3 linked regions of the Elephas maximus indicus genome follow. The protein of the gene in region 3 purifies or fractionates together with the protein of the main gene of each other region. This does not show direct contact. Links are inferred from orthologs where the notes say so. Each region holds a gene or a part of one and is shown on either strand. Other genes may lie near its edges. The genes, in order: CDC25B, SAMHD1 and CDK1.

Region 1 (7,762 bases), on a different chromosome or scaffold from region 3:
CATGCCACGGAACCAAGAAACAGAAGCTAAAAAGAGACAAGGACCTTCCCCCAGAACCAACAGAGAGAGAAAGCCTTCCCTAGACCTGGTGTCCTGAATTTGGACTTGTAGCCTCTTAAACTGTGAGAAAATAAATTTCTGTTCATTAGAGCCACCCGCTTGTGGTATTTCAGTTACAGCAGCACTAGGTTTATAGGCACGCTTGCTGTATCGTTGTTTGTAAAAGATAATAACTTAAATGCTCAGCCTTAGAGGATTGAGTAAATGTAGGGAAACCCTGGTGGTGTAGTGGTTAAGTGCTATGGCTGCTAACCAAGAGTTCAGCAGTTTGAATCCACCAAGCGCTCCTTGGAAACTCTGTGGGGCAGCTCTACTCTGTCCTATAGGGTCACTATGAGTTGGAATTGACTGGACGGCAGTGGGTTTGTTTGTTTGCTTTTTGGTTTATGGTATAGCCAGGAAACTCTGGTGGCTTAGTGGTTAAGAGTTTGGCTGCCAACCAAAAGGTTGGCAGTTCAAATCCACCAAGCGCTCCTTGGAAACTCTATGGAGCAGTTCTACTCTGTCCTATAGGGTTGCTATGAGTCAGAATCCACTTCATGGCAACGGGGGTGGTATAGCCATAACTTACAGCAGCTCTCTGTGTACTGCTATGGATCCATCTCCAAGTGAAATAAACCAAAGTGTTTAATATACTGTTTATATATATTTTAAAATAGGGTCATGAATCTCCTTATAAATGTATAAATCTGCACTATCCAGTACAGAAGCCACTAGCCCCATGTGACTATTGAGCACTTGAAATATGGTGACTACAAATTAAGATGTGCTGAAAGCATAAAAGGCGCATTGGATTTCAAAGACTTGGTACAAAAAAAACAAAATATCCCATTAATAATTTTTATATTGGTAACTTGTTGAAATGATGTTGTTTTGCATATATTAAACCCATTGCCATCTAGTAGATTCCAACTCATAGCGATCCTATAGGACAGAGTAGAACTGCCCCATAGGGTTTCCAAGGAGCGCCTGGTGGATTCAAACTATCAACCTTTTAATTAGCATCTATAGTTCTCAACCACTAAGCCAACAGGGTTTCCAATACATTAGGTTAAGTAAAATATTAAAAGTAACTTCACCTGTTTCTTTTTACCTTTTTAAATGTGCTTACTAGAAAATTTTAAATTACATATGTGGCTCAAATTTGGCCTCCCATTATGTTTCCATTGGCTAGGGCTATTACAGACTATCTCCAGAGGAATATAGAACCAATTTATAACAGTGGCTCCCTCTGGGGAGGGAGTCCTGAAGGGTTGTGTTGGGCGGAGATGGACTTTTCACTGCCCTTTTGTACCATTTAAATTTTCTCTTTTGTCTGAATTTTAGTACCATCTACTACTTTTTAAAAAACATTTAACACGTCACAAAGCCATGACAGAAAAGGCACTAGAAAAATTAGTCCCACAAAGGAGATACTATGTGGTTACAGACTTGGAGAAACAAAAGATTTTGCAAACACTTGATAATTTTTCCTCCCCTTTTACTAAGGCCCCAGGGTCACACCAGAACCAGATGGTCTCAAGGTGATTCCAACTCATGGAGATCTTATGTGTGTCAGAGTAGAACTGTGCTCCATGGGATTTTCAATAGTTGATTTTTTGGAAGTAGATCACTAGGCCTTTCGTCCAAGGTGCGTCTGGGTGGACTTGAACCTTCAACCTTTCGGTTAGCAGCCATTAACTGTTTGCAGCACTCAGGGACTCCAGGGTCACACTGGATCACCTTAAAAGAGCTGAGAGCTGATGTATAGGACCTTATGCCAAACCAAAAATCCATTTCTGCCAAGTCAGTTCCAACTCAGTGACCCTAAGGACAGAGTAGAAATGGTCACAGGGTTTCAAAGGCTGTAAATCTTTATGGAAGCAGACTGTCCTATCTTTCTCCAGCCAAGTGGCTGGTGGGTTTGAACCTCCAACCTTTCCCTTAGCAGCTGAGCGCTTAACCACTGCACCAGCAGGGATCCCTACCTTATGCTCAGATGTCTGTTTACTGGGAAAATGGAGCTGTCTGCCACCCAGAAATTTCAGCCTAACCAGTGCCTGGGCTGAATAGGAGGAGTGGTCCTCTTGCCATAATGGCTATAAATATTTCAATGTATTTTATTGACTAGTTTTTTTGTTTTGACTGAGCACATGATCTATGATAGAATTGACAAAAAGATTCAGGGAGAGTTGGTGTGTGGGATGGCCTGGAGTGTCTCCTCTGTGGCCCTGGCCCTGGGTCACTGGCCCAGTAGGGACCTTCTGACTGGGGGATTTCAAGGAATTAGAAAGTATAACCCCCCACCCCCACCCCACACACACACACACAACTGCTGTGTTGATTTTGAAAATGTAGCCCTCAGGGCAATTTTTTTTTTGGTATTTGGGGTGGGCAGCCTCACAGGGGCCCCCAGACACTGAGGGTAGTCCCAGCCTTGGATGTTGGGAGCGGCTGGAGGTCCAGACCTGTACTCCTGACCCAGGACGGATGACCCCAAACCTCAGCCCTGTTTGGCACAGCACAGGAGGTGGCCAAAATGCTGAGATAAAGAAAGATCACCTGTGCCCACCATGGTCTCTCGTCACAGGGGGTACTGGGGTCTTCCCCTTGCCTCCACAAATCCGCCAGCCCACCCACTGCCAGTCCTTCCCTTTCGCCATCCCACTTCCTCGGCTCAGGGAGTCTACTGCGCCCTGGCTGGATGGCAGATGCTGCATGGAAAGGACGCAGGGCTGCAGCTTTTGCCTTCCCGAGCTGTGCCCCCGCCTCTGAAACCCTTGGCAATCCAACCACGGCGCCTCCTCTCGGGCTGTGGGAGAAAACTGGCCTCTTGGGTTCACATCTAATCTGGGGGTCCCTGGAAGCGCCTGTCAGTTCCAGGTTCGCCCCCCCCCATACCGCCCCCAAGTCCTGTGCAAGGGTTTCTGAGTGGAAATTTCACTTGGCGACCGGCTGGCGCTGCCAGTCGTGGGGGCAGGCAGGTTGCAGGCTTCTGAGGCTCCTGGATGCCAATGTCGGTCGGCTGCACGACTTGCGCAATCGTGTGACCTTGGGCGAGTTAATTAACCTCTCTAGACCTCAGCGTTCGCGGCTGTAAAATGGGAGAACGAACACAGACCGCAGAGCAGCCGTGTTAGGCAAATTCCTCGAGCCAATTGAGCCTCTTCAAGGTGCCTGCTGGTGATTGTATTTGATGTTAAATTGCGGGGGGCTTTTCGGAGACCCCCACCCCCAGCCCCAGCGGGCTGTTGCTTCCTCTGGGGTCCTCTCCACTGGAGACGTATAGCTCCGGGCCACATCCTGAGAGAGGTGGAATTCGGGAGGCCAGGATCTTAGCGGCCAGGCTTGGTGGGGGGGGGGGGGGGGGGACAGAGGTGTGGGACAGGACCCAATTCTCCCCCCCAACCCAGAGCCTGGGAGCCGGCGGGGCGGGCCGGGTCGGCCCCGCCCTCCTGCAACCCGCGCCGGGATTGGCGGCGTCCGGCGGCGCGGCCGCTGTTATTTTTCGAATATATAAGGAGGTGGAAGTGGCAGCTGCAGCCAGAGGCTTCTCGGACTGGTGGCTGGTTCCTGCGCCCCTGCACCCCTCCCCACCCTCCCCGTCTCCCTCGCTCCCGGCCCCGTTGCTCTCCCTCCCTCCCTTCCCTTCCCCCCGGGCGGGCGCCCTCCCTCGCCTCGGCCAGCTGTGCCCGGCGTCTGTTGGCGTCCCCGCGCCCGGCCTTCCAACCAGCCTCCTGCGACCCTGCCGCGATGGAGCTGCCCCAGCCGGAGCCCGCGCCGAGCTCGGGTCTCAGCCCGACCGGCGTGCGTGGTGGCGCGGAGCGTCCGGACCACCTCCCGGGCCTCCGGCTGGGAGCTCGCGGCTTCTTGGGGTCCCCGGAGCGCGCGGCCGCTTCCTCGCCGGTCACCACCCTCACACAGACCATGCACGACCTCGCCGGGCTTGGCAGGTAGGACGGCCCAGGAGGCTGGGCATGGGGTAGGAGGCCCAGGTTGGGATGTGGTCCCAGGACTCCTTGGGAGGCCGGCCTGGAAGCTGAATCTAAAAGGTGGGGTGCAGAGGCCGGGGCGGTGCAGCTCACACACTCCGGGCGACCTGCTCTCCGCCCCACCTCCTCCTTCTCCCGCATTGTGCCCGCACCACGCTATCTCCCTAATCTCTGTCCAGGCGGGGAATCCCAAACCTGGTGAGGGAATTTGGGGTGGCAGAGCAGTCCGGTCCTCCCATCTCCTTGGTCTTGTTCCCCACCCCCACCCCGTCCCAATTCTGCTGGGGGATCCGGGGTGAGGGGATTAAAGGCCGATCTTGCTCCTTAAGCAAACCTGCATGGTTCGGGCTGGGTTGCCCTAGCGGCAGTAGAGACGCAGGTTTTGGCCTTTTCTCCAGAAAGGCACGTGGATGGGTGGGGGCCTGGAGAGTTTAGGGAAAGCCTAGGGCTTCAGCTCCTCTGCTGCCTACCCATTCCCCAGGCTGGCTCCTCCCCCTCATCCTTCTTGCCCTGGCCCTAGGCTTTCCTCCCCCTGCACCCAGGAGGACCCTTCCTAAAGCAAGACAAGAAATGTAGGGCCACTGTAGGATGAGCCTACCTTGGTCTAGGAAAAAAGTACATTGCCCTTGATAAGCCCACCTCCTTGGTGTGGTGCCCTACTGAGTCCTTCCCCCAAGGAATCTGCTGCCTTCCTGGGACAGTACAGAAGCTGATGGGCCCTTCAGAGCGGGGTGGTGGGCTGGAACACGGGCTGTCAGCCCCTGAGCCCCACATTTACCTTTTTCCTTCTCTGGGCCCGTGCTGCTTTCCCAGCGAGACCCCAAAGAATCAGGTAGGGACCCTGCTCTTCCACAGCGGCAGCCGGCTGCCGTGCCCATCCCTGTCCCGACGACGGGCATCTGAGTCCTCCCTGTCATCTGAGTCTTCTGAAGCTTCTGATGCAGGTAAGGCCCAGGGGTGCCTAGGGAGGTCCTCTAGTGCTCCAAGAGTTTGAGGGGGCTGTCTGAATCTCCCAACCTCCCTGATGGTCAGATTAACATCTTTCCCACCACCTGGTGGGCTCTGGAGCTTCCCCTCTTGTCCACTCATCTGAGAGGAAGACACACCTCTGGTGGAGGTCACCACACCCAGCCCAGACAGGCCGACTGGAGGGTGGGGCCCTAAGGGGAGATCTCAAACCAGGCACCAAGGGTCCTGAACCACAGCCCCCTGGGAGGCATTCAGGGCTGAAAGCTGGTCTTTGTATAGCCTTCTCTTACCTTAACCAAAAAAAAAAAAAGAAAGAAACCCGTTGCCATCCAGTTGATTTCCGACTCATGGCAACCCTATAGGACAGAGCAGAATTGCCCCATAGAGTTTCCAAAGAGCTCCTGGTGGATTCAAACTACTGACCTTTTGGTTAGCAGCCCTAGCACTTAACCACTACACCAGCAGGGTTTCCCCTCTGACCTTAAGCTGTAGCTTTTTCCTTTAAAGGAATAATTTGCTTCTAGAGCAAATGATTTTAAATCTGTTCAAGAAAAACGCTTAGCAAGGGTTGCAGTTTAACAACGCATAGAGAGATTTTCATAATAAACAGGCCCAGGGGCCCTGTGCAATTTGGAGGACAATATGTCAGCCTTTGAGGTCCATGGATGGTTTTTGTTTCATTTTTTAATGTGTCAAGATCTTAAATAGAAACAGATTTTCTTTCCCCCCTTCTTTGAATAGGGTTGGGACACAGTAGAGAAAGTCCGGGAAATTTCACTACCTTCCTACCAAAGTGTTCTGTCCCCCCAGGTCTCTGCATGGACTCCCCCAGCCCCATGGACCCCCAGGTGGCAGAACAGACGTGAGTAGAGAATGGAGACCCCACACCAAGGAGTCAGCGCTTGCCTTGGGAATCCCAGTTCTAGCATAAACTCACTGGGGGTATCTGGAGAAGTGACAAACTCTGCAGGACCCACATATGGGGGAACTCAGGGGCCATCTCAGGTTCCAGGATTCTGCCCCCATCTCAGAGAAGGGTCTGCGCTCATGGGAGCCAGCTGGGAGTGGGCTCAGGGCCAGGGGTGGTGGGGACAGTGACTCCAGCCAGCCCTTATCATGTAGGAGCGTGGGCCCAATGCATGGCCCATCTTTCTTTATGCCTGTACAGATTATTTCTGTGAAATACCACAGTTTTAGAATGGGGCCCAACTAACTCCATTTTGTTAACTTGCTGTAAGCCTAACAAAACACACTTGCCTACAGGCTGGTTTGGCCCTTGACCGTCAGCAATATCTGGCTTCAGTGACTCTTGGCCCTCTGGCCAACCCCTGGACCAGGGCCCTGTGAGACGGAGTGGGGCTGTCCCCTGGACAGACCCTTCCCCCTTGGTGGTGGGGCATGGATAGTGTCTTCCAAAGTACAGCTGTTCTGTCCAGCTGTTAGGGCTCAATCAGGGGGAACAGCTGCCAGCCATTAGTGGGGACAGCTGGGCGTCCCCAGCTGGGCTGGGGAACTATAGGTTTGAGTTTAGGGCAATGGCTGTCTTTCCTTCATTGCCTTTATCAGCCTGGGCTGGGCTGCAGGGTTGGTTCACAAACAGGAAACAGAGAGTTGGGTGGGGGTGCGGGTAAGGGTGGAGGCTGCAGGTTAGGTTTTGGTGGAAGCACAGTCAAAGCTGGACCTGCTTTACCCACAAGACCCAGGTGCTGACTGGAAACCAAACAAATGGAAGGGAAGATCTCTGATGCCAGGGCTGCTGGGCATAGCCTCCACCTAGGGGCCATCCTTCTGACACTTTAGCCCTGAGTCTCCCTCCCTCCCCCACCTCTGCACCTGCTTTGACGGTTACACAAAGTTCCTCAGAAAGAGTCTGGGGTGTGTGTGTGTGTGTGTGTGTGTGCGCACGTGCATAGATGCACAAAAGCCCTGCGTGGCAGGTGGTCTCCTGTAACATAGCTGGGAGGCGGGGCCTTGGTACGGAAAGCTTATGCCCTAGCCTCAAAAGGAACATCTGTCGGAATTCCTCGGCCTCTTCTAAGGCAGGAGGAGGGGGTGGGACAGAGGCTTGGGTCCTGGAAAATTCCATAGGAGGGAGGAAAGGATGTGACCCAGTGCATTTGTCACTAGGGGGCCTGGCGTGGCAGATTGGGACTGATCCAGGGGAACATTAAACCAGGCCTCTGTCCTGGGGTGAGGGGGCAGGCCAAGGGGATAGAAGCCCAGCCTTGCTGGCATCCAGGCCCTGGAGACTCCCGCATTGTCGCGTGCCGGGCCTGTCATCTGCAGGATGGATGGATGCTTTTCCTGGCGGCCATATGGCCCCACTGAGGCGATTTGCATACAGGTGGAAGGCCTGTGGGCAAGCTGGCGAGACTGTTGCCTTGGTGACGCCTCAGTGACCCTGCGACCAGCCCCAGCTGTCTCTACCACAGCCGTTCTCTGCACCCTCTTCCATTTAGAGCGGCTTTAAAGTCCTAGGCTGCCTCTCATCTCCCCTCCCCAGTGTCTGGCTCTGATAAAAGTGGGCATTCTTCCTACTCCTCATTTCCACTGGCCCTTACCCTCATTCTTGCCCCCAGGCCTTTGGTCTGGGACCTGAGGCTGGGGGAAGGAGGCGGGCTACAGGAAAATGGGCTGCATGGGGTCCCCCTCTCTCCCCTAGGTTTGAACAGGCCATCCAGGCGGCTAGCCGAGTCATTCGGAAGTGAGTGTTCCAGGGCCTTCCTCACTCAGTGTTGGGTGGCATGGGGAGGGTCCTGGTG
Region 2 (7,762 bases), on a different chromosome or scaffold from region 3:
ACTCTTTGAAACCTCAGAGGTCGTGGCCCCAGCCTTTGAGACTGAGGCAGCTCTGCTTCCCATGCTCTTTGTCTCTTCAGTTTCTGCTTCCTGTTTCCTTGGCCTCTCCGCCTGAAGGTGCTCAGCTCTCTTGTTCCGTGGTTCAGCAAACCTAGCTCTGGCGATAAGTGCCTAGAGGTACCCTACTCTGCAAACAAACCTCCTGCCCAAAAGCACTCAGCTCTCTCACTCCATGGATCCGCTCCTGTACCATCTGATGCCAGTTTTGCTGTCACCATTTATCTGCTCCTGCTTCCCACCATCTGCACTGTCTCCAGCGTTGCAGATCTCTTCACTTCCTTCGGAGCCAGTATTGCCTTTGATGTCCATAATTCCACCAACAGTCTCTTCAAGGCAATCTAGGCTTTTACTATTTGGCACTTACTGGGAATTCCCATACAATACTGGGAATCATGGCCTAGCCAAGTTTATACACATTTTGGGGGGACACAATTCAATATATAACAGCCCCCCAAAATTCATGTCTTAGCCACATGCAAAACACATTCACCCCTTCACATCAATGCAAAAGTCTTAAATAAATTTCAAATCCAAAATCTCATCTTCTGAATTAATCCTTCTTTGTCCGTGAACCTGTGAAATCTAGATTACAAGTTATGTTTCCAAAGTACAATGGGGGTTCAGGCACAAGGTAGACATTTCTATTACAAATGGGAGAAATTAGGAGGAAAGATGGGATAATAGGCACCAGACAAGTCCCAAACCCAGCAAAAGAATTTACATTAGCTCTCAAGCCTTGAAAATAATCCTATCTTCTGTGAGACCATCTAGGCAACGGCCCTGGCCTGAGGCTCTGTGTATTAACCATGCTCTCTGGGTTCTGGGTAGAGGCCCCTCGGCCCTGGTCTTCAGCTCTGCCTTCTAGGCCCACTGGGATTGCAACTCTGCTCCCTCACAACTGGACCAATAAGCAACATCATGATAAATGCAGAAAAAATTGACGTTGTCAAGGATTTCATTTGGAAACAGCAGTCAGGAAATCAAAGGATGCATTGTACTGGGCAAATCTGCTGCAATAGACCTCTGAAGTGTTAAAAAGCAAAGACTAAGGTGCATCTAACCCAAGCTATCCTATTTTCAATACCTCATATGCATGCGAAAGCTGGACAATGAATAAGGAAGACCAGAGAAGAATTGAAGCCTTTGAATTGCAATGTTGGGGAAGAACGCTGAATATACCATGGACTACCAAAAGAACAAAAAAATCTGTCTTGGAAGAAGTACAACTAAGAATGCTCCTTAGAAGCAAGGATAGCAAGACTACGTCTCATATACTTTGGATGTTATCTATCAGGAAGGATCAGTCCCTGGAGAAGGACATCATGCTTAACTGTTAGCCTACCAGGGCTCCTTCAATAAATGTTAGCCTTCACTATTATATATTATTAGTAGTATATTTAGGTTATTTCTAATTTTCTGTTTTTTTTTTTTATATAACCTATGGTTACAAGAATCACTTGAATACATTCTTTGAATACCAGTTCAATTACATCTGTAAATTCCTATAAATGAAATTCTTTTAAAGTCAAAAGGTATTACCAAAAAAAAAAAAAAAAGGTATGGCCAAACTGTCCATTAATATGGTTGAGCTGATTGCGATTTCCATAAACTTTATTGAACATTTCCCCTATTATCAACATTTTAAATCTTTTCCTGTCTAAAGCAAAAATTGGTATTTCTTTGCTTGCTGTTGAAAGTAAACATCTTTTCCTGTGTTTACTGGCTGGTTGTCAACAGTCTGTTATTTTGCCCATTTTTCTATTTTATTTTTCCCCCTTTGCTCTTATATGATTTTCTAATTTGGTTATGTTCTCCAGTGGTTTCTGATGAGAGCATATGTTCAGGTATAACTGGCATGAGTCCTGAAGTCCAAAGACCAAAGCTTAAAATCCAGCTGCTTTTTCCTAGCTGTGTGACTTTTGGCAAGTTACTTAATATCTTTAGACCTCAAATACTTCATCTATAAAAATCGTGGGTTATGGCATTTACATTTCAGGAATATTGTAAGATTGTAGTCCACAATGAAACATGGAACCAGCACCTTGTACTTGAATTTTACCCACTGAAGGCATGTAGTGTCTTCTGCTGCACTAGACTACATGTTTGAGAGAACATAGATCGATCTGGAGGCTGCTGAATTAATCTACAGAGCACAAATGAAACAGAGATTCAACAACATAGCCAGTCATATTCTAGAGACAAAATTGAAAGCTACTCCTGTCCCGTGCTTGCTACTCAAAGAAAAATTCCATCCCTGCCTTGGAGGAAAACGAAACGAAAGGGGGAAGCTAAAAAAGAGAATTGCAATTTCCCCGCACCCATTCAAGCTATCTTTAGGTCCTGAAACACTGAAGTTCCTCCCACCTCTGTCCTCAAAAAAAAAAAAAAACAACCTCAGCAAAATGGGCACCACCCTACCATTGCAAAAGTTAACTTGATTTGCAAATCACAACCACTAAAGAACCACCTTCCTATTGAGCGCCTCAGAGAATAAATTGGGAGCTAAGTTTCACATTCCAACACAGAAAGTTGAGTAGATTTCAAGTGGATGGATACTGAACACGATGAGACAGTAAAGGCACTTACATAGGCTACTTCAGAAATCTGGTGTGAGCAAGGGCTCACTGAGTCCATACTGCCCCCATGCGATTGTGACCAAGGTGTGGGCTGCTGGGGTTCAGTGGTCAGCTGTACAACCCCAGTGTTCAGAATGAGCAAGGGAAACTGCATTCGAAGAGCAAAATATTACCAAACTCTGCTGACCCAGTCAACAAACACTTGCTTAGAGCCCTACTGGAATGCTATGTTAATTCAGAGATGAACAAGCTCCCTCCCCTTCGGGACAACTAGGAGTTAAATGACGGGAAATAGAAACTTAAAAGCCTCAGAACATACTCTAATGTGGCAAGCATGCAAGGATCTGCGGTAACACAGAGCCTGAATGACAGCAACCCTCCAATCAAGTTCTCTCACTTCAAAAAGGACTCGAGTATCATCCACCTGGCACTAGGGTAGCAAGTTCCTGAAGAAACCCATCAAAGTAAGACCAAAATCTGCCACTGCCCCTCCAACCTCAAGTGGCCCCCTTTTCTCCTGGGCGCCCTCCGGCCAAGGTCCACCCCTTCTGAGTGCCTTCCGGGGGGAGTCTTCCTTCCCCGGCTCAGGTGGCCTCCTCCCGAAGGCTCTCTGCCTCCTGTCTCTATTCCCCACCTCAGGTCTCCCCCTCTGGGCGCCTCCCGCGTCCAGCTTCCCTTCTCCGCTTTAGGTCGTCCTCCTTGGGGCCCCTTGCCCCCTACCTCAGGGCGCACTCTCCTCAGCCCCAGCTGGTTCCCGCCTCGGATCGGCGTCCCTGGGCCCCCCCACCCCGGCCCCTCTAGCCCCGTTACCTCGGAAACGTGTCTGCAGCAGAGGGTCACTACCGATGCCACTGCGCCTTAGAAAGGCGCACACCTGCTCAGGGCCCCAGGTCTTGGGGTCGGGGTGGAGTTCGCGCTCCGGGGATTCCGGCGCCGCTGCAGTCTGGGTGTTCTGCGGGCTTCTCGGGCTCCCATCGCGTCGGGGCCGCTTGCAGGGCTGCTCCGGCTCAGCGCTCTGCATGGCTGCACCCAGCGCCCGGCGCAGCCGAGTCAAGGATCTGCGGCGCCGGCCCGCGCGCAGACGCACTGGCTACCCCGCTCTGGAGGCGAGTCCGCTCAGCCTTGCCGGCCAACAGGCCTCCCGCGCAGGCGCACTGACAGCCCAGCCCTGGGCCAAAGCAGTCCAGCAACTGCAAACAAATGGCCACCTGCTCAGGCGCAGCGTCAATCCCGTCGTCCTCGCTTAGGCTGAGGAGTTTACGTTAAGGGGCGGGGCTGGAAGTGTATCTAAGGCCCGGGCTCTGGTCGGTGCTAATGGCAGGGGCGGGGAAAGGGCGTGCCCTGGTGGACATCTGGCCACACTCTGGAATGGCTGCTCTTCTGGCGATCTGAAGGTAGCTCTCCTCCAAATGACTATCCCAGGCGTCCCCTTGGCTGGATTTCAGATGCCCCCATAGGTCAGAACTGACTCGACGCCAACTGTTTTGTTGTTGTTTTTTAAACTTAAATATAAAAGGCCATCACACTGTCAGCACCTTTCCAATGAAGAGGGAAAAATGGGCAAGGGGCTGAAGTCGAAGACCCTAATCTTGCACTTCAATATTGGGGATGCCTGTCTATCCATGAACACTTCCTTCAGGGTTCCCTAAAGAGGTGGGCTTTAAACTTCTACCCTCCAAATGGAGACACATCTTTGGAAAGACCCCTTCAACTCCTCTTTCCACCCCAACGCCCTGCTCAGAGGAAGGGAAGGGGTCAATCTGATTTCTCAAAATTTACCTTCAAAGACTTTTACTATCCAAAAGTATCAATGTGTGAAAATGGCAGGCATCTCCTTCTCACGTCAGCCCCTTTGGGGCAGGGCCCAAGCTTTCCTATAAATCCTGGTCCATGCAACTGACTGAATTAAAGGACTACTACTAATAAGTGCTACAGCTGCTAACCAAAAGGTCGGCAGTTCGAATCCACCAGGCGCTCCTTGGAAACTCTACTGGGCAGTTCTATTCTGTCCTGTAGGGTCGCTATGAGTAGGAATCAACTCGACGGCAGTGGGTGGTGGATGGTACCAATACCACTACTACCAATAATAATAAAGACGGTACACCTTTCTACCATTCCCATCCAGGGGATGAAGGATGAATGAGGCGCATTAGTTCATCATCAAGCAGTATGAACTAATAATTGAGTGGGAACTAAAATACTCTTAACAAACACTTAGAGCTTTACTGTGTGCCAGGCACTGTTCTAAGGACTTCACAAATAATTCATTTACTTACCACAATAACCTTATGTTGTAGGAACTGAGGCACAGTGAGATAAGTGATTTGCCCAAGATCACACAGCTAGCAAGTGATGAAGCCTGGGTTCAAACCCAGGCATTCTAGCCTGGCTCCCAAGTCCATGGTCTTAGTAACTTGTCCACCATTGTTTGTTAATAGGTTTTTGATACAAAATTATTTTATACTGCTGTTGTTGTTAGGAGTCCTGGTGGCCCAGTGGTTAAGAGCTTGGCTGCTCACCAGAAGGTGGGTAGTTCCAACCCACCAGCTGATCCTTGGAAACCCTATGCTACAGTTCTACTCTGTCCTATAGGGTCATTATGAATCAGAATTGACTCAACAGCAAGGGGTTTGGTGTTTTTGGTTGTTGTCAGCTGTCCTCAAGTCGGTCCCTGACTCATGGTGACCCGTGCACAACGGAACGAAACGCTGCCTGGTCCTGCACTACCTCCATGATCTGATGTGGATTGGATTGTTGTCATCCATAGGGTTTTCACTGGCTGATTTTTGGAAGTAGATCGCCAGGCCTTTCTTCCTAGTTTGTCTTAGTCTGGCTGTTCCGCTGAAACCTGGGCGGCATACTAGCAAGAATTCACTGACAGAAGTGTGGTGGCTGAGCACAAGATGCATTAGCCAGCTATCGAGCCCTTGTGGGGGAGTATACCAAATTCCCAAACCACGGGCGCCGAGTTGATTCTGACTCATAGTGACCCTATAGGACAGACTAGAACTCCCCGGTAGAATTTCCAAGGAGCGGCTGGTGGATTCGAACTGCCAACCTTTTGATTAGCAGCGGAGCTCTTAACCACTGGCCACCAGGGCTCAGGTAAGGGAGTATTAAGAAAAACTCACTGTTGAGTCTATTCCAACTCATAGCGGCCTTATAGGACAGAGTAGAACTGTGCCATAGGGTTTCCAAAGAGCGGCTGGTGGATTCAAACTGCCAACATTTTTGGTGAGCAGCCGAGCTCTTAACCACTGTACCACCAGATTTGCTCTCCATTGGTACATAAGGCTAAGGCAGAAAAGCAAGTGTCCTTAAGCACTAAACAATTTGTAAAAAAAAATCTGACAGTTGCCAAAACTTGTGTAATCGAAACAAGGGGGTAAAAGACACAATAAATAGCGCATGTGTGAAAGACTTATATTTGAAGTTGGAAATGGCTGGTTTGAAAGTTTGTGCTTATGAGACTTGGGGAAAATCTACCCTGACAACAAGGGTTCCTGGGCAATAGAAAGGGATATAAGCAGGGTTTTAAGTTTAACCAGTTGGGTTTGTTCAAAGCAGCTGCTTTTGAGAACTTTTATTTTCTATTTGTTTTTGTTTGTTAAAAAGCATTATCTTAGTTATCCAGTGATGATATAACAGAAATACCACAAGTGGATGGCGTTAACAAAGAGAAATGTATTCTATCACAGTCTAGGAGGCTAGAAGTCCAAATTCAGGGTGCTAGACCCAAGGGAAGGCTTTCTCTCTCTGTCGGCTCTGGAGGAAGGTCCTTGTCATCAATCTTACCCTGGTCTAGAATTTTCTCAGTGCAGGGACTCCGGGTCCAAAGGACATGCTCCCCTTCTGGCTCTTCATTCTTGGTGATAGGAGGTCCCTCTATCTCCTCTGCTCACTTCTCTCTTTTATATCTCAAAAGAGACCCACTCAAAATACAACCTAATCTTGTAGATTGAGTCCTGCCTTATTAACATAACTGCCTCTAATCCTGCCTCATTAACATCATAGAGGTAGGATTTACAACATATAGGAAAATCAGATGATAAAATGGTGGACAATCACAAAATACTGGGAATTATGGCCTAGCCAAGTTGACACACATTTTTGGGGGACACAATTCAATCCATAACAAGTATAATTTAATGTTGTATTCCTTATTTTTCCCCCAGCCCCCTATTTTATAGGGGCACTTGATCTTGCACAGGGTGATTACTTGCTCAAGGTCACATTGCTGGTAAGTAGAAGAGTCAGGATTCAAAGCCAGTGGCTGTCAGACTCTAAAGCTTGTGCTCTTCAGTTTGCCACTTAAATCCACTCGCAGTCCTGTCCCATTCAGTCATTCCACAACCTGGGAACAAATATCTACAAGATGCAGACCTTGTGCTCTGGTCAAGTTGAGAGATGTGAGAGTTCAATCTCCCTTCTTCTAAAGTCAATCACGCCATGGTTAGGACTAGAAAAGACTATAAGGTCAATTAATTTAGGGCCCACTGTCCACTGACCTTGAATATCAAAAACAAAACAAAAAACTGTCACTGCCCTCGAGTCAATTCCAACTTACAGCAACCCTGTAGGACAAATCATAGGGTTTCCAAAGGGCTGCTGGTGGATCCAAACTGCCAACATTTTGGTTAGCAGCTGAGCTCTTAATCATGGTGCCATCAGGACTCCTTGAATACTTCCAGTAAACCCTCTTCCTCAGCTACCATCTCCCCACCCAGCCAAGCTGTGCAATTTCTGGCAGCATTACCCTTGCGGTTTTAAGTCTCTTCATAGCTTCCTCTTCCCCCAGTGTTGCTGGTTCTCAACACCAGCTCAATTTTATACTTCTTCATTCTTTCCAGAACCCAGCCTTTTTAAGGTATTCTTCTTTCCATCTGCCCAAATCTCAAAACCCAGCCCAAATTCTTAAGTAAACAAACAAAACAGTATCGATTTTCTTGTCTGACAAAAATAATGCTTAAGAAAGAAACTTTGCAAATTGTAGTTTGTTTATACACAACATGCAGCCAAAGTTTCCTTCATGTACCCCATCAGTCTTTTTCTGTTCATCGATGTAGAAACTTATCTTCAGGTCTGGGAATTCTTTAAGAAAGAAAGAGACCCTGTAAAATGATAAC
Region 3 (7,762 bases):
TCTGTAAACCTTCATCTAAAGTACAATTAAAAAAAAAAATCTCCAACCTAACTACCACCCTAACTTGTCATTGCCATTATCTTACTAAATTCCTGTCAGTATTCCTCCTCTTATTTAATATTCCTTGTACATTGGAGTTTTTGAGCTTACTAATAATATAGATGGGAATGTGTCTCAACAGAACTTACACAAGACCTAATAGCAAATTATTTCATCAAAATTTTATCATTTGTTCCTGGAGTTTAGAATGTTAATATCAAAACTCCTACACAGAAACTTACATGTCCTCTTGAAGAAGAAAATAGATAAAGGGATATTTTTACCCTTCCCTTATGCCATATACTAAAACATTCTTTAAAAGCTTTAACAAAAGTACTATAGAGAAAGAACTGATTACATACAGAAGTTAATGGGTTCACAACAGCTTAAACATATACATATGACAGTCGTTTAAACCTGTTGTTGTATGATTCCAACTCAAGTGTGACCCTAGATGACCCTATATGACAGAACTGCCCCAGAGGGTATCCTAGTGTGTAATCTTCATGAAGTCTCTTCTCCTGGGGAGCAGCTGTGGTTTCTGTTACCTTATCAACCCTTGTGCCACCAGGGCTCCTTCATTTAAACCCAGAGTAGCTAATTTAAGAAGTATTCAAAGTAGTTTAATATTTAATTACTACACTCCACTTAGCTTGGAAACCCTGGTAGCATAGTGGTTAAGTGCTACGGCTGCTAACCAAAGGGTCGGCAGTTCAAATCTGCCAGGCGCTCCTTGGAAACTGTATGGGGCAGTTCTACTCTGTCTTATGGGGTCGCTATGAGTCAAATGGCATTGGGTTTGGTTTGGGTTTTTTTTTAACTTAGCTTATGTAAAATTATTTATCATCCTAAACAAAACTATGTTGTTGCAGTGTGCCGTAGAGTTGGTTTCAACTCATAGCAACCCCAATGACAGAACTGCCCCATAGGGATTCCTAGTCAGAATCAGGTTTGGTTTAATCTTTTGGGGAGCAGATCACTATGTCTTTTCTCCCGTGGAGCTTTGGGTGGATTCAAACAGCCTCTGACTTTTCTGTTAGCAGGTGAGCGATTAACCATTGCACCACCAGAGCTCCTTAAATGTAACTATAAAAAAACAAAAAAAACCTATTGCCCTCCAGTTGATTCCAACTCATAGCAACCCTAAAGGACAGAGCAGAACTGCCCCATAGGGTTTCCAAGGAGCAGCTGTAGATACGAACTGCTGACCTTTTGGTTAGCAGCCAAGCTGTTAACCACTATGCCACCAGGGTTCCAAAGTATAGAAGACTAAAAATATACATGAAATTAATATATAATTCCCCCCACCACATAACAGTTATCAATAGTGTTTTCAAAACACAAACATTACTTATATGACACAATAAGACAGCCCCATGGGGTTCCTAAGGAGCAGCTGGTGGATTCCAACTGCTGACCTTTTGATTAGCAGCCGAGCTCTTAGCCACTGCACCACCAGGGCTCCCAGATATTACTTAAGTGTTTAGTATTAGGAGAATACTAATATTTTGGGGAGGAGCCATCAGGAACCATATATATTAGAATGAGTTTAATTCTCTAGAAATGTGAATAATTTTGTGATGTTTAGGTTATTGTATATTATGTAAAGAATGTTTAAATTTATGAATATTAGTATTGGAAGATACCTTAGAGGTTAAGTTATACAAACATTTACATTTCTTTATGCCATGGGTGTTGTAGCATCGTTAAATCATTTTAAAACTTAATTATTGAAATCACTCACCTTCCCCAATTTTCTCTATTTTGGTATAGTCTTCCATAGTTACTCAATATGTACTGTAGATCCTAAAATGAAAAGGAAAAAAAAAAGAGACTGATTTGATTACAGGCCACTAACTCAAAAGGTGGTTTTACGTCACTATATGTGAAACATTTAGCAGTGTTTGGTGCATTTTATATTAAGTATTCCACAAATGTTAGTTATTATACTAAAATATTTACATATTTTATGTAAGTTATTTTAATACTTACAATACTTATTTAATATTTATATGTAAAATATTTACAAGGATAAGGACACCTGCAATAAGACTTCCCCACCCACTTTACCATCTAAGGAGCCCTGGTGTGCACTGGTTAGAGCTTGGCTACTAAACAGAAAGTCAGCAGTTCAAATCTACCAGCAGCTCCTTGGAAACCCTAAGGGGCAGTTCCACTCTGTTGTACAGGGTCTTCATGAGTCAGAACTGACTCGATGTCAATGAGTTTGTTTTTTTTTTTGTTAGCATCTAAAACATTGAAAGTATTTATATATTCCATACTAGTACTTAGCTCCTTCTTAATCAAATTAACCCTCAAATTAATGGATTTACAAGTAAAGTCCATCCTTCCCGAACAAAAACCAGGAGTATGTTCTCTTTAACACTTTTAAGGAGCAGCAGCGTATGCCAAGATTATACCAATGTATCAGCAACTAATGTCATTTGACTGAATTTGTACTGCTTTTTACATTTTTATGAAGATGTTAATTCAAAAGAAAAAAATTGTAAAAGACATGAGTAGGGAGCTAAAATATGGTCAGACTGCTCACCCATTAGATTGTTTTGAGCCCCCAAAACTAAGTGTTTATAGCTACTCATGTGGCAGTTTTAAACTTTCTGCTTTGTTTTTAGCAGTCACATCCACAGACTTGCTCATCTATTAAAAGTCTTTCAAAGTACTTTTTCCAAGAGTAGGAAACATCCCTGAAAGGTAAAGCTGAAAAGTACCATCCCATAGATAAATTTCTAATTGCACACTATGCAACATCCAAAACTATTGCTGAGATAATCCTTAAACCTTAAACCAAAAACATCCCCTGAAGTCTTCTTAAAGCCAAACAAGAGTTTAACCTTTTTCTAGTAAAGAATGCCTGCCTCAGCACTATGCTCTTTTAAGAACTATCTATATGGGATTAAATTGACAACAGTAACTCCAAAGATTAGATAGGAACCTTAGGGGGCAATGAGTTTATGCCAACGGGGGAGGAACAACTCAGAAGAGGGTGAAAACGGTTGCTCAGCTCAAAGAATCTAACCACGCTCACTGAATTGTACACGGGGGAACTATACTATATATATAAAAAAGTAAGTAAATAAATAAAAGCTTATTTGCTGGCCACCAGACACTCAAGACTTCCTCAGCTGGTAAGCTTGCCAATGAAACATAACTTCAGAAGTCCAAAGCAGAATTACTTTGATTTTTTTCTAACTCAGCCATCACTGACGATAAAAGCATGAAAAGATCAACTGAGCAGCTGATCCTTAGACGTTCTATTTCTTCCACCCACCTTCGCAGGAAAAAAAAAAATCACAACAGAAAGTAGTAGGGTAAATCATTGTGAATAAACAAAACTCCACAACACTGGGCATGAGGGCTTACTGTAAGAATTTCTCATTTTATAAAACTGTAACGGAGAACTTAGGACAATTATTTTTCCTCAATAACCAGATGTGATACGTCTAATGCACGATAAAACTGTTGAGCTCACTTCGAATAAATATTTAAAAACTAACAATTCCAAAGCTGGCTTCGATTACCCTCCTCAGGTCTTCCAGTTGTAACAATTTTAAGTAAAACAAGCAGCTTTAGAAGGCCTCTCCAGTGCCCCTCCTGAGGCTCAGCACTATTAGCTGCAGGAAGCTGAGTACCCACTAGGCTTAGTCTTCCTGTCCAGAGACTTCCAGAGTCCCTTAGAGGAAGCAAAACGGGCCGATGAGTAATGTTAACACTAGATAAAAATTAATTAGAGGCCTAAAAACACACGTTTCAAAATATACACCCTGCTCAGAAAACCAGTTCCAAAACAATTCTCAGTACAGATGCTTCCTCAAGATAAACTTTAGAATTACTCATGTCCTCCCTGCAGTCACCAAGAAGGGTCTCATGAGTGCTTCAAGGCCAGCTGCACCCAATTTAACGATTACTCTAACTTTTAAGCAATTTTAGAAATGTATGTAATCTATCAATCAGATGTATCCTTGCCCAATGTTGTCACCATTACCTAAATGTTAACCAATCACTAAATTTTTACCGTAAGTTCCTTGTATTATAAAAACTCTCTAAACTGTCTCCTACTCGGATCACTTATTTCAGAATCCGCAGGACCCTGGAATTCCCAGTTTGCAAACTGCCTTGCTCTGAATAAAAACTCTTTCCATTTTTTGTCTATCCCATAGTAGACAACAACTACAAGTATAAAACAAATCTTAAAAAGTTCCCTCTGGCTCTGCCGCCTTGTAAGGTGTGGGTGGGCAAGGGCCGTGGGGTGCAGCAAGGCCGAGAAGGTACAGAAGTCCACCGGGTCAGGTTCTCTGGACCGATGGGTTGAGTGCCCGGCGTGGGTACCTGGCCCGGGTACCTGGCCCACCTCGAAGCCCGAGCGGAGCGTGCGCAGAAGGCAGGCCCCGACCGCGGGACCCGGGACCGAGCCTGGCACTCCACGGGAGCTCAGCGTCCTCGAACAAGTGCAGTTAAATTGCTTCAACTCTGTTCGCACTATAACCAGAAAGCCTCCTCAACCAGGTAGGCAGCCCCTTCCTAAAAACAGCCGACCCCGGTCCCACCCTGGAATTCCGAAGCCAAGGCAGCCCCAACCCTCCACGGAGTAAGCCACTCAGGACTGGATGTCCCCTAGACTCCCCTTAAGTGGGGCCCCGGCGTCGCTTACACGCTCAGGCCGCGGGTCCCGAGCTCCAGGCCCTACCTACCCCCACCCCCCGAGGCCAGGCCTGGGCCACGTAGACACAATCCGGGCCCCCAAACAACACCTCATGCCTCAGTACTCCCCCTCCTGAAGCCCCGATCCAGCCCCTGCCAAGTCCGCGCCCCGTCGGCATGGCCCTGACCCCTGCAACTCTACCCAGCTTATTATCCCGCGGTGGTGACGGCGGCAGCGGCGGCAGCGGCTACCACGTCCGCGTCGCTCTCCTCAACTTCCAGGATCCAGGTTTGAAGCTAAGTGAACGCAGTTTCAAACTCTCCGCGCTAAAGGGTCTCGGATCCACCAATCAGGTATCCCGTAGACTTTCAAAGGAGCCAATCAGAGCTCAGTTACGCTGGGGCCTGCTTTCCCCGCTGGCTAGAGCGCGAAAGAAAGAGGAAACGGCGGCAGGAGAGGAAGCAGGAGGGCGGGCCCCAACTGAGTCTGCACGCAAGCGCTCTCTTTCATTCCAGGGGAGCGTCGTCCTACTGTTTCTAAGTCCTTGGTAATCTGCTGTTCTCCGTGGGGTTTTTCTCTCTCTGTAATGATACAATTAATTTTTATCACACTTAAATAGCTTATCACAAAAATAAAACTACACTTACATCAAGGTTCCATTCCTTCCGATTCTAATACTTAAGGCTAATGTGTATTTATGTTTTTCTGAGTGGCTTGCAGCCTAGGCGTAACTATTTCTCTAAAGGAGCACATTTTTAGTTGCCTTCAAGATGAAAATATTGGAAAACTGAAAGATGCTCTCAGTGATCTAAAGAAATTACCTTAGTGTGTTAAAAATATACTTTTTTTGTTTAATTTTAAAATGTGTTCATATCAGAATTTTAAATGTACTTTACATGCACAAAAATTAACAGTTCTACGAGGGGAGAAGAGGAGACCTTATACTTTAAGTAATCCAGTGTCAAAAACTGTTTCATTCCCCTCCGCCATACCCTTAAGAGGGATTTCTGCTCTTGAACATCATTCTTACCCCTTTGTTGTTATTTGTTACCCCTTTGTTGTTATGTTACGCCTTTGTTGTTATGTACGGGTCAAGTCGATTCTGACCCCTAGTGACCCTGTAGGGAGGGGCTGCTGGATTCAAACTGCCGACCTTTTGGTCAGCAGCCAAGCTCTTAACCACTGCCCCACCAGGGCTCCTTTAGGCCTTTAGGAAACAAAACAGTATATAGAACTGGGGTTATCTTTGCATTGATGATAACTACGCATAGAATAGCGACTATCACCACCTCTCAGAGCCCTGGTGGTACAGTGGTTAAGCATTCAGATGCTAACCAAAACGTGGGCAGTTTGAATCCACCAGCTGCTCCTTGGAAACCCTATGGGGTAGTTCTACTCTGTCCTATAGGGTCGCTGTGAGTCGGAATCCAGAGGAGGGCAACAGGTTTGAGCTTTTTGGACCACGACCTCTACAAATGTGTATTAAAAAAGCTCTGACAATTAAGAGTGTATAACAAGGTGGATGGAAACCCTGGTGGTGTAGTGGTTAAGTGCTAAGGCTGCTAATCAAAGGGTTGGCAGTTGGAATCCGCCAGGCGCTCCTTGGAAACTCTATGGGGCAGTTCTACCTGTCCTACAGGGTCGCTATAAGTCGGAATCGACTGGATGGCACTGGGTTTTGGAACAAGGCGTATGTAAATTTTTGTATGAGAGACTGACCTGATTTGTAAACTTTCACTTAAAGCACAATAAAAATTAATTAAAAAAAAAAAGCTTTAATTAGGATGAAGAATGGAAGTAGTATATCCCAAGCATTGTGTTTGATACCATCCCACACAACTTGAGGAGAAGGAGCAGAGTCTGTCATCTGGCCCTACATGTGGCAATAACTCAGACTCGACAACATTACACTCTCAGGCCACAGAGGCAGAGCATTTGGGGTCCATGGTGGAAATAAGAGTTGGTAAACTTCCCCGCTGAGCCTAACAACTTTTAAAACTTACTTTTAAAACCCCAAATTTATCCCACTCCTCGGGATATACCCTAGAGAAATAAGAGCCTTTACACGAACAGATATATGCACACCCATGTTTATTGCAGCTCTGTTTACAATAGCAAAAAGCTGGAAGCAACCAAGGTGTCCATCAACGGATGAATGGTTAAATAAATTGTGGTATATTCACACAACGGAATACTACCCACCAATAAAGAACAGTGAGGAATCTGTGAAACATTTCATAACATGGAGGAACCTGGAAGGCATTATGCTGAGTGAAATTAGTCAGAGGCAAAAGGACAAATATTGTATAAGACCACTATTATAAGATCTTGAGAAATAGTATAAACTGAGAAGAGCACATACTTTTGTGGTTATGAGGAGGGAGGGTGGGAGAGGGTTATTTACTGATTAGTTAGTAGATAAGAAGTACTTTAGGTGAAGGGAAGGATAATACTCAATACATGGAAGCTCAGCTCAACTGGACTGGACCAAAAGCAAAGAAGTTTCCAGGATAAACTGAATGCTTCAAAGGTCAGCGGAACAAGGGCGGGGGTCTGGGGACTATGGCTTAAGGGGACTTCTAAGTCAATTGGCAAAATAATTCTATTATGAAAACATCCTGCATCCCACTTTGAAATGTGGCGTCTGGGGTCTAAAATGCTAATAAGCGGCCATCTAAGATGTATCAATTGGTCTCAACCCACCTGGATCAAAGGAGCATGAAGAACACCAAGGTCACACGACAACTATGAGCCCAAGAGACAGAAACGGCCACATGAACCAGAGACTTACATCATCCTGAGACCAGAAGAACTAGATGGTGCCCGGCCACAACCAATGACTGCCCTGACAGGAAGCCCAACAGAGAACCCCTGAGGGAGCAGGAGATCGGTGGGATGCAGACCCCAAATTCTCATAAAAAGACCAGACTTAATGGTCTGACTGAGACGAGAGGAATCCCGGCGGTCATGGTCCCCAAACCTTCTGTTGGCCCAGGACAAGAACCATTCCCGAAGACAACTCATCAGACATGGAAGGGACTGGACAATGGGTTGGAGAGAGAT

Evidence for each region.
Region 1: the proteins of CDK1 (region 3) and CDC25B purify together in Homo sapiens (affinity purification with western blotting; 4 studies listed by BioGRID). This does not show direct contact. The link is inferred for Elephas maximus indicus from reciprocal best matches to the Homo sapiens genes CDK1 and CDC25B.
Region 2: the proteins of CDK1 (region 3) and SAMHD1 purify together in Homo sapiens (affinity purification with western blotting; 3 studies listed by BioGRID, with this or other methods). This does not show direct contact. The link is inferred for Elephas maximus indicus from reciprocal best matches to the Homo sapiens genes CDK1 and SAMHD1.

What each region holds. Positions count from the first base shown.
Region 1 is NC_064843.1:42,404,476-42,412,237, forward strand, and holds the start of CDC25B (M-phase inducer phosphatase 2), read left to right. Parts: upstream 1-3,600; 5' UTR 3,601-3,792; coding exon 3,793-3,992; intron 3,993-4,844; coding exon of another isoform or gene 4,845-4,886; coding exon 4,887-4,975; intron 4,976-5,810; coding exon 5,811-5,862; intron 5,863-7,662; coding exon 7,663-7,704; intron 7,705-7,762. UniProt on the Homo sapiens protein: Tyrosine protein phosphatase which functions as a dosage-dependent inducer of mitotic progression. Directly dephosphorylates CDK1 and stimulates its kinase activity.
Region 2 is NC_064843.1:32,593,555-32,601,316, reverse strand, and holds the start of SAMHD1 (deoxynucleoside triphosphate triphosphohydrolase SAMHD1), read right to left. Parts: upstream 3,872-7,762; 5' UTR 3,658-3,871; coding exon 3,447-3,657; intron 1-3,446.
Region 3 is NC_064834.1:27,394,441-27,402,202, forward strand, and holds the start of CDK1 (cyclin-dependent kinase 1), read right to left. Parts: upstream 5,115-7,762; 5' UTR 4,901-5,114; intron 1,846-4,900; 5' UTR 1,821-1,845; coding exon 1,784-1,820; intron 1-1,783. UniProt on the Homo sapiens protein: Plays a key role in the control of the eukaryotic cell cycle by modulating the centrosome cycle as well as mitotic onset; promotes G2-M transition via association with multiple interphase cyclins.